4 linked regions of the Drosophila melanogaster genome follow. The protein of the gene in region 3 interacts with the protein of the main gene of each other region in a pairwise test. Each region holds a gene or a part of one and is shown on either strand. Other genes may lie near its edges. The genes, in order: Nadk1a, CG42748, CG18371 and kappaB-Ras.

Region 1 (5,140 bases), 480 kb from region 3:
TATAGTTTTAGGAAGCTTTTCATTTTTTTATATTCAGTGTAACTCAAATACTTTAATTGTACGAACCTAGATGGTTTTATTTCGGTTGCCAAGCAAATCATTGGTATACCTATTATTTAAACATATAAGCCAGTAAACTTGAAAACCCAACAACACTTGCTGTTTATTTTTTATAAACAAATCTGATAATAAGCGAAAGACCAATTTAAACTCTCGCGCCTTAGTGTGACCATACGGTGATAACTGCTGATATGGGTATTTTTTGCTACGCGCACAACTGCCACACAGACGTGAATTGGTGCAGGAAAAAAACAAATAACATGGACCCATTGAAACTCGCGTTCGTGAAATTGCAAATCAGGAGCTAGTCGCCGCCTAGCCCAAAATCGGGAAGTTGTCCATCGAAAGTGGGTGTCGTCGGCAGGTGCAACGCGTTAGTGGGTCAAGTTGAGGCCAACACAACACATCACTCACATTGGCGCACACATAGGTGCGCAGTCACAGATATACACACATACAGCTACAAGCAGGTGGCCAAAACAATGAAGTCCTCTAGCTCCATAACGGTTAACCCAGCCCCAACGACCACCCCGTCGGCCGCGCAAACGGTGCCGAAGTCGGCCTCCCAGTGCAATGGATCCTACTACGACGACCACGACAATCAGCTGCTCCATGTGAACAGCATACGACAGGGACAAGGAGGCACTGCAGCATCATCAGCACCGGGTCCTGACCTGAATAACGGCACTGCCAGCGATGACCTCCAGATGCGTATGTGGTGGTAAGTGGGCGGTTCAAAGTGATGACAACACCTGATTGCGGTTTCACGCCAGATCTGGCCTTTTTTTTGCTAGCTGAGGATCAGCTGTTTCGTGATCAGCTGTTAGGCTGTTGCAGTTTATATTTGCATTTGCTTTATCGATCCGTCTAAAAAACGGTTATTATAACAGATGTTTTAGTTATTGCTAGTTCTTTAAAATCATTTGTTTTGACAACTATATAAGAAACATAATGTCTTAAACATAAATGGAATACAATTCTTTTCCAGTTGCTGAACCATCACATTTCATTTCAGACATTCCTTTTAACCTGTCTCGAGATTAGAGGTTTGGTTTAAAAAAAACAAAACTTAAGTACGAACGGAGACGAAATTTGAATTGTTATCAAATAAGTACAGCCCTGTTTTTCACAGCAAAGGAAATGTACCACCTACGTACACTATGTACATACAGTATATAGTGAATTGTTGGCAATCAATTAGAGCTGGCGGGAAAATGCTTGCCTCTCGAGTGGCCCACACATGTTGTTTGGGTTCGTAATTTTCTGCGAATTTTAACTACTGTTAACACGTGTGACGAATGTGTGACATGTGCCAGATGCAGGCCACTAAAATCGATTTTCTGCACTTAATTTCCGATTTTTTCCTTTGAGTGTCGGAAATTATAGGCTTAAAGCCTCTGTTAACAGGGCTGTACATTTTGTTATGCCAGCTTTTCGAAAAGTAATAATTTCGTGCTTAGATTGTTCTTATGGCGCTATAAAACGGAATTACCCGCTGACTGCATGCATCAATCATATTTTTGTGGGATTTTGATAGCAGCAATTAAACAGCCACTGGCCGCTGATTACATTTACATAACAGTGAGAGCACCTGTTGCTCTAAAGCATACATACATATGCATGACGCGTGGCTGCGCTCAGCTGATTTCCAACCAGCGATGTCCGGCAAAAACCCGCCAAACGATCTGGCCGTTCATTGTTTACAATCGCTCGGCTCGCGTACTTTTATTTTCGAATCGGAATCGCGCACAAATCGTCCAACTTAATCACCTTTTCGGCGTCGCAGCTCAGTTATCGCATATTCACCGGACAGCACGGTCGTGTTCGCTCTCAAACTGAAACTCACCTGTCGATCGTGGAACGTTGTTTTGTTGCTCGCTTTTCGACTCGGTCGTTTACCTACCTTACCCGCTTGCCGTCGATCGCTGGTCAGTTTAAATGTTTAAGCCGCCGGAATGCTGGAAGCTTCGCCTTGGCTCGAGCTAGTGCTAAGGAGAAAATAAAACAGATTATATAACGTGTAATTAGAGCACTTTGTTGGCATGCCACTAGTTAACGTTAACGTTAACGTTAACGCTGTTTTCTAGCGCACACATGACTTGGCATTTCTGGGCTCCGAGCCGCAAGCCCACTTTCGATTTCCTTCTACGGTCTGCAGCCAGCTGGCTAGCAATCCATCTAACTACAGAGACTAGATATTGCAGATACACTCCAACTTCTTGCAGACTTTGCTAGATGGTTCTGCATTAAACTCAGCTCAATCTGTAGAATCCACTCAAGAACTGGAGGTCAAATTATACAAGTCGGGTTCTCAGTTTAGTTGCTTAATAAGAGCTTATCACCTCTAATAAGTTGCTATCGTTAAATGTTGCTACCTTGAATCGTGCACTTATTTAAAAACTTATGCTTGAACTTAATTAAAGCCAAATTTGTGTAAAAGATCATAATTCTTTATTCTAAAGAGTCCAATCTACTACAGATCATAAAGAATTTAGTAACCTAGTTGGACTGTCACATTCTTTGACTCACTTAAATAAACAATAAAGCAATGTTGCTGGCCAGAATAAATAAACCCAAAGGGGGTTAATTATTTATTCAAACTAAACTAGCACAAAGTTTGAACACACAACTGAAAGTAAAGCAATGTATTCACTGTATTAGCTGGGCGCTTCATAAAATAATTCAAACAAATTAGTTATAAATATAGTACATTTTTGGAATATATAAATTATATAAATCAAAGCGTCAATATTGTAGTTTATTACTACTTAAGATAGCCATGGACTAAGCCCGGTCCATAGCTCGATGTATTATTTTTAAAGTGAAAATTGCTTGTTAATTGTTTAATAATCTATGCAAAGCAATTTCCCACTGATTACATTTTAATAATAAAAACAAAGGTTGCACGTGTACTATGAAAGTTCAGCGTTAGTACCTGCATTTGCAACTTTGGAACCTATGAATTCATAACGAAAGGCGTCATTTGAATTATGTATATCATGGCAAAACCCGTGCTGACATGTGGGCACGTTGTGGCCAAGTGGTTACACAAATTCGTAGGTGCAGTTCCCTTGTCCACTTGCCGATCCATTCAATGATAATCGCTGCACTTAGTCGATGCCGCTGCGCATTTAGCGCTGCTCGCTTCGTCCGTTTATTGATTAATTAATTTGTGCTCGCCGCCTATTTTGTTTCAGTTTTCTTTGTATAACTCATGTCCATAAGTCATTTACAATTCGCTCTATTGTCATAGTCCGATTACTACGGATGTAACTGGCTATATAGCGACTGGTGGCTTGTGCCTTCCTTTGTTTGTTTGTTTGATTTACAGAAGCGTTTCAATGACTTGTGCTTACTTGTTGCTTCCTGATCTGGGTAAAAATAGAAGAGCGGGCGGGCTTTGGATCACGCGATGCTAACATTTTGGTTATGCAATATAATAACTATATAGTTAATTAGAATTCCAAAAGCGAGTGATCACTCGATTGAAACGACTGGGAAGAGATGATTGGATTGTTGTGCAGCTTAATAACAAATACGCCCCTCAAATAATAGTTGCAATTCTTGATAAAATCAGTTGAAGAATCTATTTCCCATGTTCTCTCTGTACTCCTGCTAATTCAGCAAGGATCCAAGCTTCAAGAAGACCTCCTCCACAGGTACTTCCCCAGTCTGTTAAGGCCTCCATCTTATCAGGCCACTCAACAGAATCTTGGGACGACCTCTGTTAATGAACTGCTGATGGGGCACTTTCGGAAAGAAACCGAAATGATGGGGAACTTCAAGCTGATCGCACACACAGGTCACGATTTCTAGATTAATGGCTGGCGATACTGTTATGCCCAAGTGGGTTGTTGTTTTCAAAAGAGCTGCAGAGAAGACTGTTTAATTGTGGTCCAAGTGGACGTTTTTTTTTCGATTTTTGGCTTGCTCAAAGGTTGTTGACCAAAACGCAAACGCGATCACGAACGAAAAAGATTTAATTATATTTCTCGTTATAAAGCTAACTGTGTTTAGTACGTCCGAGTTATTTTTTCGTGCCGCTTTGCCAGCGGATTTCTTGCCAATTGATTTATACTTGACATCGTTATGTCGTGGTGCTGGCTAAAGCAGGCGATAAAAGTTGGCCAAGTCCAAATACCGCTAAACCACCCCAAATTCCCCGCTGACGGAAGCTGACTAATGACGCATATGAGGCCTTGTGTCGCTCCTTTCTAGCCATCTCCTAATGACTCGCATCTCCCTCGATTTGTATGGCTCTTTCGTCAAAGCCGGAACTACGTTGCTGGTCCGTTAGGTTGGACAAAAATAAAAAAGCAACCAAAACAAACTATTCGATTGCTTATAACAAATTTATTTTGCACAAATTTCACAAGAAACACAAAACCGGTTCAAATACGAAAATTCCCCCCAAAATACAAAAAAAACTGATCGTTTTTGTTTATAAACTTTTACCACGCGCCAAAGCAGTTACCGTTTTTATATCCCACAAAAATGTATTGCATTCTTTTGTTACAAAAAATGTTAGCTTTGTTAACACCTCCAGCAAAAGGGAGCAAGGTTAACTCGTCTATTTTACCATTGGCTCAAAATCAGGGCCATTTCAAGGGTGTGAGCTTCCAAGAAATGCCAAGCGAAATGTTAAGCTGAATTTTCCAATCCAAATTTATAGTGGCAAAATGTTTTAGCAACGCGAATCACCTGTGAACATTTTGAGTGATATTTCATAATTAGCAATCAAAAGACTTGAACATGACGTGCCTGTCGGACATTGACCTGGCCACCCTGCACCAGCATCGCCTGGAGGAGATCTTCAGCTACAAGCTGGCTTGGAGTGGCACTGGCCATCAGCAGACCCAGTACAATGATCTCCTCGTGCGCCACAATGCGTCGCTAAAGCGACAGAGAATCATCCAACACACGGCCAATAGGGCCAGCACAAGGGCCAAGGATCAAGCATCCACTGATGATTGTGTGGCCACCAGTCCAGGAAACATTCAGGCCAAATCCGAACAGGATCCGGATGACGGCTACTTCGATTCCACGACACGACGCACGCGTAGTGGCACTTGGCCGTAAG
Region 2 (5,393 bases), on a different chromosome or scaffold from region 3:
TCATTTACTCACTAATTTGAAACTTAAACTAATAATATACACACATTTGTAATATTTTAAGCATAAGAAAAGTTAGTATGCATTCAATTTTATTGTTTGTGCATTAATATGTAGTTATTTTTACGCTTTTAGGTATTTAAATATAGTCCGACATCAAATTAAAACAAGAGAGGACGCAATAATCAAGTTGCCCGACTATTACATATCCGTTACTTAGCAGTCAAATTAAAAATCTTTTTGCTTTTAGCTTTTGATTAAAATTTTGAAATCGGTACCCAGGGTACCACTTGGAGGATCATGAGTTGCAACGGGGTCGTTTAAAACAAAATCAATGTTTGGGACCTACTTGAGTTTTCAAACTCCAAACCAAAAATTTGGTTTTCGTAGCATACGGAGGCATACATAATGTTAATATTAAAAATTAAATATTTGTAAAATAAAAAAAAAATTAAATTTCAACGCTTTTTCAAAACTGTGGGTGTTTACTAATGAAGAAATGGAAAAACATTTTACAAAAGTGTGAGCGTGACTTGCGTGGCTGGAATCTGTATGCTTGATCTCAACTCTATAGGCTTCCATAGTTCCTGAGTTCATACGGACGGACAGACGAACAAGACCAGATCGACTCGACTATTGATCCTGATCAAGAATATATTTACTTTACATGGTCAGAAACTCTTCCTTCTGCCTCTTACATATTTTTCAACGAATCTGGTACACCCATTTTACTCTACGAAAATAGGGCAGGGGTATAAAAAGTTGAAGATAACTGTGCCGATTAAAAACTGTGTCGATTAAAAAATTGCTACATTTTTATAAAGAAAGTCCGTATATACCAAATGTATATGTTAGAATGTTACTATTTTTTATACCCGTTATATAGGGTGTATATATTCTTGATCAGGATTAAACGATCTGTCCGTCTGAACGCCTGGATCTTAAGAACTTATAAAGTTAGAGAGTTGAGATTTGACATGCAGATTCCTAAGACGCCAAACAATTTTTGGCCACGCCCACTCAGGTTTAGCGGTTTTTTCCAATTGGTGAATATCTTGTTGATTGGAAAGCTGCCGCAGATTTCCATGTAGTTTTTCGAGTATAACATACATATGTACATTACATACATATGTACACATAATAGTCGCCTTCGCACACTTTTCTAGTGCGCTTCGTCACTATCGTCCACGGTAGTATATTAAGGGTACTTCAGGCACTACAAAAAATATCTTATTGCCTTCGATGTAAGAGATATATCGCAGAATGGTAATAATATCTACACTTGCAATATAGTTATTATCCATAGTCACAATAGGTCTTACCGCACTTACTACATAAATATGTACATACATATGTTGGTCGCCAAGGACTTTTACAGATTTTAATTTGTTTTGTAATATACAAGAAATAAAAATAAAATTTAAAAAAAAGCTCTTTTGTTTGCAAACAATAATCTGATTTTGTATTGATTACTTAAAAAAATTTTACGAACATTTACATATACATATTTAACCTATATTTCAAATAATTGGTATTAAATATACGCGTATATATATGGGGAACATACTAAAACTTTTAAAATTTTAATAAAATAATTAAAAAATTTAGAATTAAACTTCGATTTAGTGTTTTGTGTAAAGAGTTTCTTGACAGTCTCAAATATGTGCAAACTTGGAATTTGGTGTTTATTTTCTTGTATATTTAATATTTTTAATTTGATTTGATTTATAAGTAAAATAAATATTGTTTAATTATATTGAATAAAAAAATTGCGTTTAATTAAGCAAAAAACCTTTAATTTTTAGCTTTAAAGTCAAAAATTCAACTTATTTCACAGTGTGTAAACAGTTTCTTGACAAACTGTATATATTATTGCGTATATTTGTATGTATTTAATTGAACTATTCTAATATGTATAATATTTTAAAAAATGTTGTTAGTTTCAACGTTTGCATACATACTTTCAACCCGCTTTCAACCCATTCTACCGCTCCACTGCAGCGGTAATGTCAGATATACGTGCATATATATATGCAACATACATAATTATGTATGTATGTACAAAAATCGCAAAGCTGTCTGCGTATTTTGTTTTTGGCTTAAGTCATACCCATTTAAGTGGGTATAAAAAGGGTTCATGCCATTTTCGTCGCGCCCTTCTCTAGCCGAGATTCTTCTTTGATTCCCAATGTTTTGGAACAAGCCTGCCTGTATTCTAACCAGTTTCTTTGTTCGCCTTGCTCATGGCTTTAAACGGATCTCTCTCGTGCCTCTTTCGTGTCTCCGCTTTATCTCGGTTCTCTCGGCCACGTTTAGTCTAAGACACGTTTACAGCTTTGCTCCGCTCAATTCAGTCTCTATCTGAGCGTTGTCTTTGCGAGTTAGCCATTTGCAATCGTGCGGTCTTTTCAATGTGTCTGTAGCCGCCCCAATTACATATGTATTTCGTCTGTGGATATATGTACGATGTACATATGTATATAGGATGTACACATTTGTACATATAAATATATGAACAATGCCTATTTCTCCAGCTTTCGTTTACAGTAGTTTTGAGAAAGAAGTGTATCTGAGTGTTTACGTGAATATTGAGGGCACAAAACAAAATAGCAGAGCAAAGAAAAAATAGCTCGTTGTAAATTAGACATGGAGAACATACAATGCCTTTCAAAAAGTTATAAAAGTGACCAGAAGACCGCGGAGATTTCGTTGTCGCGCTTGTCATATTGCCCAACCGGTCAGGACTCTTTCTACTGAACATTCTATTGTTATTTTATATAAGTATCTATGTACAGATGTATGTATGTTGAAGCCGAATAAAAAATTAAGCATGGATTTGTATATAAATAAAAATGTTTACTGCATTCCCGACATATCAACAACACAATACATGTAAATGTATGTGTATGTACATGCATATGATCACATTTGCTACTAGAAAGCTCTTAGAGACCTCACCGCTTTCTATTTGAAAATACATTTACACAGTTACACAAAAAAGATATGTTTAATACGGCCATATAAAATACTGCCATCCACTGCGAAGTACATAGTACAATTTTGACTAAAACGATTCCTTTCTATGGCAGCTACGTATAACATAAAGTCAGCGATCCGCAAACAAGGTATACCGATGTATATATATTTTATACATGTATATTTTAAAATAAATAAATAAAAGCTGTGTAAATTTATTACCATAATGGTCATGTAAAAAAAACGAACCGAATAAATTATGTTTATTCCAATTTTTGTGCGGTTTGTTGTTTTGAACTTACACTGCCGCATAATTGAATAGGTTTGACTATTTTAAATTTTTTATAAAGAAAACAGTCCTCCTTGGAATAGCAAAGATTTGGTTCTGTAAATTTTGTTTTTATATTATATGTTTTTATATTATGTATGTTTTTATATTATTTATATTATATAAGAAGAAATCTCCATTGTTTTTGGCTCATCTGAATAGCTTTTACCCTTTTGACTTCTCTTTTTGTTGGACCGTGTGGTTGAAAAAGGTTGCATTCTTTTGTATTCTATTATTTAAGACATTCAATACCTGTTTATTTATAAAATGGCCGTGGAAAAGCTTTAACCGAGGTAAAGTAAAAGGCTATATGGATATGGAATCTGCGAAGAAAATAGGTCGAAGTCAAAGCAATTAGCAATTTTGATCGTAACTAAGCAGACTATATAAAAAATGAGTGGAGGGAAAAACATGCAACAACAGCATCGGAGGAAAGACTTATCATACGAACTTACCAAATTCCACTCATTCTGATGGTAAAATAAGGGAAGAATGCGAACTTAAAGAATTTGAAAAAAAAAACTCCATTATGATGCTCGAAAAAAAATCACGACTTCGATTTGCCCGAAAACACGGAGTGGAACAAGGAGTGGAAGACGGTAACCTTCTCCGACGAAAAGAAGTTCAACCTTGATGGACCTGATGGTTATAATTACTAATTTCACGATATCTTTTTATGGAACATGGTCCAGTTCCAGTTTGTCACCTCGAAGATGAACGCAAATGCGTACTAGGCTGTACCTTAAAAGGGTTTTCCAACGGTTTCTGAGATTTATGTTCATATTCAATTGACGTTCCATTATGACACTGATTTGAATCGTAAAACAGTGGATTAAGATTGCTTGAGTGGCCGCCTTGCTCCCCTCACATCAACACTATCAAACACATTTGGGGACCCTTGTTATGGAGAGTATAAATTAAAATAAAAAGTATTAAAAGTATTAAATTAAAATAAAAAAATAATATAAAAACAAAACTAACAGAACCAAAACTATTTTAAAAATGACGTTTTTTTTATACAACAACAACAACGACAATTTATTTCGCTTAAATCGTAGTCCACTTTAAGGAGCTGCAACGTTTCGAAAATTGGAAAAGGTCAAACCATAGACATTACAATAATTATTCGAAGTTCTAAATTAAATAAATTATTCTAGTGTCTTTCGTGAAACCTACTGTAAGCGGTACTGTATGTTTTCAAAGCCTCAAAAGCGTTTTTTGTCCCCAAAAGATTTAGCTTAAAGAAATTATAATTCAACTAGATGTATAAACAATTATAAAATACGTCATTTAAATTTTAGGTTAAAGTAGCAAAAAGGTCTGTTTTCGACCATATAAAGTATATATATATTCTTGGATCAACTCGGCTGAATATGACTTTCAATTCAACTTTCGGATATATATCTTTCTAGTTCTTTGTAAAACGTTATAATACTTCAAATTCAATTTATGTAACTATTTACACTGCACGAAATGCTTTTCAAATGCTGTTATGAAAGAAAAAGTGTGTTTGGAACGTTTTTTGTCTAAGCAACAGCAGATTAGAAAATATGATTAAAACAAATATATATCTTCTTAATTTCTGTTGGATTTCTTGAAAACGATTCGATCAATTTCAATTCCTAAATATTCAAATATTTAGAACACATTTCCGTAGAAAATTCGCGAAGGATAATTATTATAATTATTTAGCAACAAACACGATCACTATCCATTTTGAGCAATAGATTTTGTATGAGCGAATACACAAGTTGTTTCAGGCCCTTGCACACATTTTTATTACACTAAATTGCTCGATATAAAAAATTAATTCTATGACTTTTGAAAAACCCGCTACTTTACTGCATTAGCTTTTTAAGCTAGAGATACAATGACGGTAAACTAAACATTTGATAAGGCTCGTTCCAAAATATTACATTTTTTATAGTGTATTGTGAAGTCACAAAACACTAGACTCTTTTTACGCAATTATTAAAAACGAATTAAATAAAAAATGTCTTAAAATAGCGGGCGTGTCAAAAACATCTATACAAATCAAGGAAAAATATTCAAAAGTTTGGACGTTGAGCTGCTTGAAAGCTTTCGAGAGGGT
Region 3 (2,931 bases):
AATCTATAAAGATGATATCAAGACCACAAGGAAATAACTTAATAACAATAATACATATTTTTTGGTATGACCACTTTATGTATATATATATATTTATATACAAAATTGATCTTTAAAGAAACCCCCTTTGTTGATATCAGTGATTAAGTGCAGTTGAATTTTCCCTGTTAGCCTTGCTTATCTGGTGTTTATCCGTTCTGCAAGATCACTCAATTTCTCACAATTTCTCTCTTAGCTGCTGGTGGCTCTCTTTCTCCCACTTCACGCAGTTTGCCTTCGGAGAAGCTGAGTTTTGTTTACCGACTTGCTGTTGTTGTTGTTGTTGCTGCTGTCGCAATTGAAGCGCAGTTTCTGGCAGCAACAGCATGAGCTATAGTATCTATAGATATACCGATACCTATACTTATGCCTACATGTACATACAAACATATATACCCGTTCGTTCGTAGCTCCAACGGCGAGGCATGCGAAGTCCCTTCAAGCGTTTCAACGTACTTTTTTTTTTGCTGCGCTTCGGTTTGTTTGATTTGGCTTGCTCACCTTCGGCTCGACGGCAACAACAACAACAGCAGCAGCAGCAACAACAACAGTATCGAACGGACGTCGACGGAGGCAGCGACGGAACTGCGAATTCGATGGAGACGTCGGTGGCGGTCTCAACCTGAAATCCAACCTGAAACTCGAAACGAACCCGAGGCTCGTGCTGTGTTTCATTTGAATGGGCACACGACGAACGGAGTTCGAGTTGGATTGGCCACAGTGTGCCGGCCAAATTGGAAGCCTTTGGTTCCACTTTGCGAAAACTTTTAAATTCGCTTAACCAAATTGACAGCTTTAGGGCCATTTCAACATACGTACACGTTTGGTTTCTTAAAATGTAGATGGTAAAGGGGGAAAATCTTTTCGGTTGCACGCTAACGTCAGGGTGGAAGAATGAAAAGCAGTTAATTTCTAGAGAATATATCGTATCGTTAATATTTAATAGTCTTCCTTACAAACCTTAGACATAATTGTGAAAAAGTATAATTTATGTAGTCATCGGGAAACCAATTTCTGGAAGCTGTCGGACGAGTACTTGTAACTGTAGTCATTTATCACAGGCATCTTTTGCAAATACCTTGGCTCAAAGGACCTCATTTCCCCATGCTCTCCCTTTTGGTCTCTTTCTGTCTACCCATCCCGCTTGCACTTGATCCTGTGCCTAGGCCATAAATATCGTATTAAATATTTGCCTTAGTATCGCCTGCGATGTCGGCGTTTCGCGTTTGCATTAACGCCGAATGTTGTCTGTTTATCTCGCTAGTTATTGTTCGCGCTGCCCATAGGTGGTGTTTTGCCATTTTCGAGGGGGGTGTTCATGTGTCCATGGGCCATAGGGGAAGGGGAAGGGGGAAGGGGGAAGGAAGGAGGCTTGCTGGCAAGAGGAACAAGGGGGGGGGAGGGTTTCGGCTCTGGTTTGGTGGTTGCAAACTTTTGTGGCATTGCCAGTTGATTGGATTGCCATGAGATGAACTTGGCGTCGCATGTGAATGTGTGCGTGTGTGCGAATGAGTGTGGCAAGTGATTTATGAGTCCCCAGTGCTGATATGGGATACGCTATACGCTATGGATATACAATAGATACAATGTCATTAGCGCTCTCGCCGATACACTGCTCCTTTTTCCAACGTAAACTCCCTATTTCTTTCGTCGATTTTAATTTAAGCACATAATGGCGATATCATTGACACCCAGTAGTTTAACATTTAATTTTAGCAAGTTTTGCTTGTGTTAACATTATTTGGGTTTCACTGTGCTGCAGAGCGCACATTCCGAAAGGAAACACTTAACTGCTTAAGGGAATCTAGGAGCTTGCGACATTCCTGTAACGAACACTGACAAAAATCAACTAAATTTCAACAAGTGGAGTTTCTGTTTCTATCTCTCTCTCGATCGACAATAAGTTGGAGTTATTTCTAGAAAAAACGAAGCATATTGAAGATGATGCAGCCAGCGGAACAGATCTTCTCCTGCGGATTCGAACTCTTCGGGCGAGTACAGGGTGTGTGTTTGCGGAAGCAGACACGAGATCTGGCCACAATGAACCAGGTGCGCGGGTGGGTGATGAACACGGACGAGGGCACGGTGAAGGGACAGCTGGAGGGCACACTGCCCAAGGTCAACGTGCTGAAGTTCTGGCTACTGAATATCGGCAGTCCGCGCTCGATTATCGAGCGGGCGGAATTCACGCCCACCAAGGAGATCACTTCGCACAACTTTAGCCGATTCTCGATTCGCTACCACAATGTGGCAGCAACGAAAAAGGCCATTTAATAAAGAATTTAGACTTGTAGTCTACTACCGAAAATTGGAACTGTGTATTTGCTGTAACTATTTGTTTGGACCTTTAAATTGAGCTGCCTACGAATGGAGCCCAGTTGTGCTTCTGCGAGCATCATTTATAAACCTCTAAAATGAAAAACAGGCTGCTGCCAGCCACTAATTAAGCCGCACAAAGAAATGCTCAGCGCAATTACATGGAGGCTGGCACATCCACTATGTACTTATTTTAATATATGTATCTACAAAGTAAATATATGTACATATGTATATATATATATATGTGAGATGACTTGGTTAGACAGACACCTGCAGCTTCAGCTTCAGCTTCAGTTTTAGCCTCGGCTTGGCCACATTTCCAGTTGAGCGACGCCCCAAACTGGCAATGAGTTTTTACGGCACACAAACAGCAGCCAACAGGCAACAGACAATACTGGCTATAAGGAAAATCTAGAATAACAACAGAGAGCCACAAATATTTATCGCAGTGCGCTGAACAAGAACAGATTGACTATTTGATTGAAGGTGAAAATCTAGTAAGTCGTGACTTCTCAAGGCGGAAGGAAATGCCTTGAAATGCATTTTTGGGTAAATGTTATCTGTTATGAGAAT
Region 4 (4,823 bases), 6.6 Mb from region 3:
CTGGCTGGTGGACTTTTCCAGCGAGCGCAGGCTCACCTTGTTTTCCTTGAGGAAGTTTCGGGACTGTGTGACGCCTGTGGGAACGGAGACCAAAACAAATTACCAACTGGTTGCCATGGCCAAGCGGCTGTTTGGAAAAGAAATCTTACGCGGCACCGAAAAGATGCCCTTTAACGTTGGAATCGGGCGAACTGAAGTATTCGACATGTTCCACCTACTCCCGAACTATAACTAGACGGCTGGGGCTCCAGAAATGTGATCTCGACTACGACAAGTGGAAACTGCGTCGTTGTGTGAAGTAAGGCACAGGTTCAAATGACAATTTTGAACCAGCTGCTTGTGATTGTACCTGCTCATCGATGCCCGATAACATTATATATCGGTTCGGTGCTGACCCGCGGCTGGCCACATTCGAGCCAACTAACGGTTTATGGGATGTCCTAGTGTTTAAGTAAATATTAAATAAAAAAGCAAGTAGAAATCAAGTGAAATTCTTACTATTCTGTAATTATAGTAAAGTTAAAATAAAATAAATAAAAAAATATAAAATAAAATAAAAACTCTGCACAGCTTCTAATTTTAAATATTTAATTTTCAAAGGTAATTAACCAAACCAATTTATGGTAATACATACTGTATTAATTTATTGACTAACCTATTGTAAATTCATGAATTCCAGCACCTAGTGGACTGGTCTAAGGCAATGCTTCCGCAGATAGCTAACATAACGGATTGCTACGATGAGTGGGTTCACAAGCCGGTGGACAGGCCACTGCGTCTCTTTGACCCTTGGTACTTGGAGATGTGCACCAAGACGCCCTGGTGGCTGGTGCCCCTGTTCTGGATACCAGTGATCGTGAAATGCGCCGTGGAGGAGTTCACCACCGCCTGGCAGGATAGCAACCAGGTGAGTAGTCGCGCAATCTTCGCATTCTTGGATACGATCTTCTAAAAGTATCTTCTTTCTGCAGCTGGCTGTGTTCTCCGGTTACTTTTTATTTGGCGTGCTCCTGTGGTCTTTCCTGGAGTACACACTGCACCGCTGGGTGTTCCACGTGAAGCTGAGCAACAAGAGCGGAAGTTGGCTATGCACCTTCCACTTCATGATCCATGGCCTGCACCACAAGGTGCCCTTCGATCCGATGCGACTGGTGTTTCCGCCCCTTCCCGGCGCAGTGCTCGCCGCGGTCATCTACACCCCGCTCAGCTTTGTCCTGTCCCATCCGCGAGTGATCTTGTCTGGAGCTCTGGCCGGCTATCTGTGCTACGATATGATGCACTACTACCTGCACTATGGGAACCCTTCGCTATGGGCCTTTGTACACATGAAGCGCTATCATCACCACCACCACTTCTCGCACCAAACTCTCGGTTACGGCATCAGCAGTCCCTTGTGGGATGTCGTCTTCAAAACGAGAATCCATCTCCGCAAGCTGAGATACCAACTGCGCTGGTCCTAGCTGCAATAAATGGCTAATACAGTGCTACTATAGAACAAATTACATTCAGTTTTCAACGCAACAGAGTTGCTGCCGCAGCAAATAGTTCAATCAAATCGGAAATTTGGTTTTTAGCCTATTTGTGTAGGCTGAATACTGAGCATTAGGCTTAAGAATTATTTGTAAGACTTTTACCAATTTCTATTAAACAGGAATACACTTCCAATGATACCAAAGAACAAATGGAAAATCCTTTTTGAAAACAGAAAACTGGGCAATCAAAGGAACTATTGGAACTATTTTGGAACTATTTTGGGGAAAAACAAAAAATTTTCGGCAATTTTATGATGCGTCACCAAAGTTTACATTAGAAGTTTGGTACCTTACCTATATATGAGAGGGAATACTTTGATTAACTTTTAATTCCTTTGGTAAATGCCTTATCATCACTCTGGAGCGTTTAAATATTTTTGTTTAAAATCGAATAAATAAAGAAGCAGACAGACGGTTTGTATGAACACTTTCATTTACCTATTTCATACAAATCTGGTACAATCAGTTCAAGTTTGTTTAATAATTAATATTATATTATTAAAATTAGCTTAAGATAATTGTTTAAGACCTGTCTTAAGTGGAATTTCTCATTGGCGTTGCTTGGTCACACTACCAAGAATCCAGCGAAAGTTTTGTTTATTTTTTTGGGTCCCAATTTCTCCTGCTGGAATAATGCTAAATGCCAAGATCGGGAAGGTCGGCAAGGTACTGGTGTGCGGGATGAAGGGCGTGGGCAAGACGGCGCTGATAGAGCAGCTGGTCTACGGCCACGTCAATCCCGAAACGGTGAGAATGCCTTTGGCAGAGCTCAAAGTAAAGCTGATGTCTCATATCCCGGAGTTCATTGCAGGAACTGCATCCAACCATTGAGGATATCTACGTGGCCAGCGTGGATACAGGCAGGGGCGGAGCCCGAGAGACCCTGCGCATCTACGACACGGCCGGATTGCAGGGCGAGCAGCAGCAGCTGCCACGCCACTACCTTCAGTTTCCAGATGCATTCGTTCTGGTCTACGATCCCATGGATCCGCGCAGCCTTGACATGCTGGCCGACATCAAGGCTGACATTGAGAAGCACAAGGAGAAGAAGGAGATTCCCGTTGTGGTGCTGGCCAACGTGAGGGCACGAGCAGCCCCAAATCCCGTCGAGAAGGTCATGGACCGCGCCAACATCTGGTGCCAGCGAGAGCGCATAAAGCACTACACGGTGAACGCCATGGAGCGTCCCTCCCTCTACGAGCCATTCACCACGCTCTGCGCCCGGCTGCACCCAATGCAGACGAAGAGCACGTTCCCTCAGCTGCGCCAAGTTATGCAGAACCGGCAGAAGAGCGAGGCTTAGCTGTTTTGAACGGACGAAAGGGAAGAGATATAATTTAAGTTTTATTCGGGAGTGTCCCAATAATCTCCGATACTTAACAGTAGCTATGAATGCCACAGATTTGGCTTTAAGTTCAAGAGATCCTTGGGATCTCCCCAATCGTACTCGTATTGATCCATTTAGAGTCTACTTGCCTTGTATTAACTGTTGTGCTTTAATGTGGGCCAGAGCCCAAGCCACTTGTACTTATGTCTCTTTGTGTGTGTCCAATTGTATCTACTATTTATTACACCGACATGTCTTCTCTCATTCCGCGAGAATTAAGCGTAATCAGTATTCACTGCTCAATCGCAGCTCAAATGGCGCGTAGTGATTAAATAACCATGCCGAAATTCTGCTCTACGGCAATCCCCTTGGATCAGTCGTCTGCAAGCCCCTTCCTCGAGCGCAATGCTTTCGCGTGCCGCTTTTCTTACTGTTCTCCTAACGCTGATCTATGCCAGCCATGCGGCTGCGGGATTGAGCATTACAGTTCCGGGCACAAAGTGGTGTGGACCCGGGAACATAGCAGCCAACTACGATGACCTGGGCACTGAGCGCGAAGTGGACACGTGCTGCCGGGCGCACGACAACTGTGAGGAGAAGATTCCGCCGCTGGAGGAAGCCTTTGGCCTGAGAAACGACGGGTTTTTCCCCATGTAAGCGTGGATTCCATAGCACCCATGCTGATCTTGGGATCAATAATCGTGCGCTCCCCGCAGATTCTCGTGTGCCTGCGAGTCGGCCTTCCGGAACTGCCTCACCGCTCTGCGAAACGGACACTCCCTGGCTCTTGGCAAAATCTACTTCAACACCAAGGAGGTGTGCTTTGGCTACGGGCATCCCATCGTTTCCTGCCAGGAGAAGCAGGCCGACCTGTTCGAGACACGATGTCTCAGCTACCGAGTGGACGAAGGTCAGCCGCAGCGCTGGCAGTTCTACGACTTGGCCCTCTACACACACGTAAGCGGCAGCGAGGAGGACTCCCGAGATTGAACTTCGACGTCCGGCGATAAGCCCTCAATTGTTTACAAAACAGATTGTGCGGGGAGCGAAACCTAATGTGATTAGGATTTTGACGGTAGGTTATTTGTGTAATAAATTTTCGAAGCTTAAGGCTAAGTAGCCTGGAATTATATTAAAAACTGAATTCGGAGGCTCAATTAAAGTTCAAAATGATCAAGAAAATATTCGGAGTATTTTATATTTCATCCAGATTAAAGTGGGATTACCTTATAAGTAATAATTAATGTGATGTGCGCATCAGGTAATGTAATCATCTTGTCTACAAATCGTTGATATCATGTCAGCCCGCCGACGCTGGGATTGTGAAGAACGGCATGTCGTAGAACTGCCAGACCTTGGCCTTGGACTTGTCCACCTGGTAGCGGATACAGCGCTTGCGGAAGGTGCCCTCCTGGTACTGCTTGCATCCGGTGGTGGGATGTCCGTTGGCAAAGCACCTGCTCCTGCTGCCATAGTAGATACGACCCAGAGTTTTGGCCGTGATGCTGTTCACTGCCTGCAGGCAATTGATAAACTGCTGCTCGCAGGTGCACTTGAGGCTAAATTGAAAAGTGTCTGTCAATGTGCACAAAATCGATAAGGGACTTTAGGAGGTTTACCGCTTACATGGGAAACCAGTCTGTGTTGGTGGGCAGTCCGTGGAGTGCTCCGTGGGACTCGATAATCTCGTCGCAATGGTCGTGGGCACGACAGCACTTGTCCGTCTCCCGTTCGCGGCCCAAATCCTCGAAGTTCGCCGCCGTGTTGCCCGGTCCGCACCACTTGGTTCCGGGCACCGTGATGCCCGTATGGGGAACTGGTGGCAGTGCCTGGTTGTAGATGTCCTCGTCCTCAAAGATAGCCTCGTCGCCGAAGGCCCAAGCCATGGCCAGTAGCCCAAAAAAGAACGCTTCGCGCAGCAGCCACATGTCTCAGCTTCGGCAGTCGCAGCACAACTAAGTTTG

The links.
Region 1: the proteins of CG18371 (region 3) and Nadk1a interact in a two-hybrid assay, tested with the Drosophila melanogaster proteins (one large-scale study listed by BioGRID).
Region 2: the proteins of CG18371 (region 3) and CG42748 interact in a two-hybrid assay, tested with the Drosophila melanogaster proteins (one large-scale study listed by BioGRID).
Region 4: the proteins of CG18371 (region 3) and kappaB-Ras interact in a two-hybrid assay, tested with the Drosophila melanogaster proteins (one large-scale study listed by BioGRID).

The regions. Positions count from the first base shown.
Region 1 is NT_033778.4:13,542,156-13,547,295, reverse strand, and holds the start of Nadk1a (NAD kinase 1a), read left to right. Parts: upstream 1-1,846; 5' UTR 1,847-1,988; intron 1,989-4,732; 5' UTR 4,733-4,812; coding exon 4,813-5,135; intron 5,136-5,140.
Region 2 is NT_033779.5:22,131,986-22,137,378, forward strand, and holds the start of CG42748 (uncharacterized protein), read left to right. Parts: upstream 1-2,347; 5' UTR 2,348-3,122; intron 3,123-5,393.
Region 3 is NT_033778.4:14,026,754-14,029,684, forward strand, and holds CG18371 (uncharacterized protein), read left to right. Parts: upstream 1-1,866; 5' UTR 1,867-1,980; coding exon 1,981-2,313; 3' UTR 2,314-2,343; downstream 2,344-2,931.
Region 4 is NT_033778.4:7,443,038-7,447,860, reverse strand, and holds kappaB-Ras (kappaB-Ras), read left to right. Parts: upstream 1-2,068; 5' UTR 2,069-2,165; coding exon 2,166-2,279; intron 2,280-2,343; coding exon 2,344-2,835; 3' UTR 2,836-3,264; coding exon of another isoform or gene 3,265-3,512; 3' UTR 3,513-3,575; coding exon of another isoform or gene 3,576-3,849; 3' UTR 3,850-4,037; downstream 4,038-4,823. Other genes in the region: CG11125 (uncharacterized protein), read right to left, coding at 1-74, 150-207; Fa2h (fatty acid 2-hydroxylase), read left to right, coding at 680-907, 972-1,460; CG30503 (uncharacterized protein), read left to right, coding at 3,265-3,512, 3,576-3,849; sPLA2 (secretory phospholipase A2), read right to left, coding at 4,160-4,418, 4,486-4,787. UniProt on the Drosophila melanogaster protein: Atypical Ras-like protein that may act as a regulator of NF-kappa-B activity, possibly by preventing the degradation of NF-kappa-B inhibitor cactus.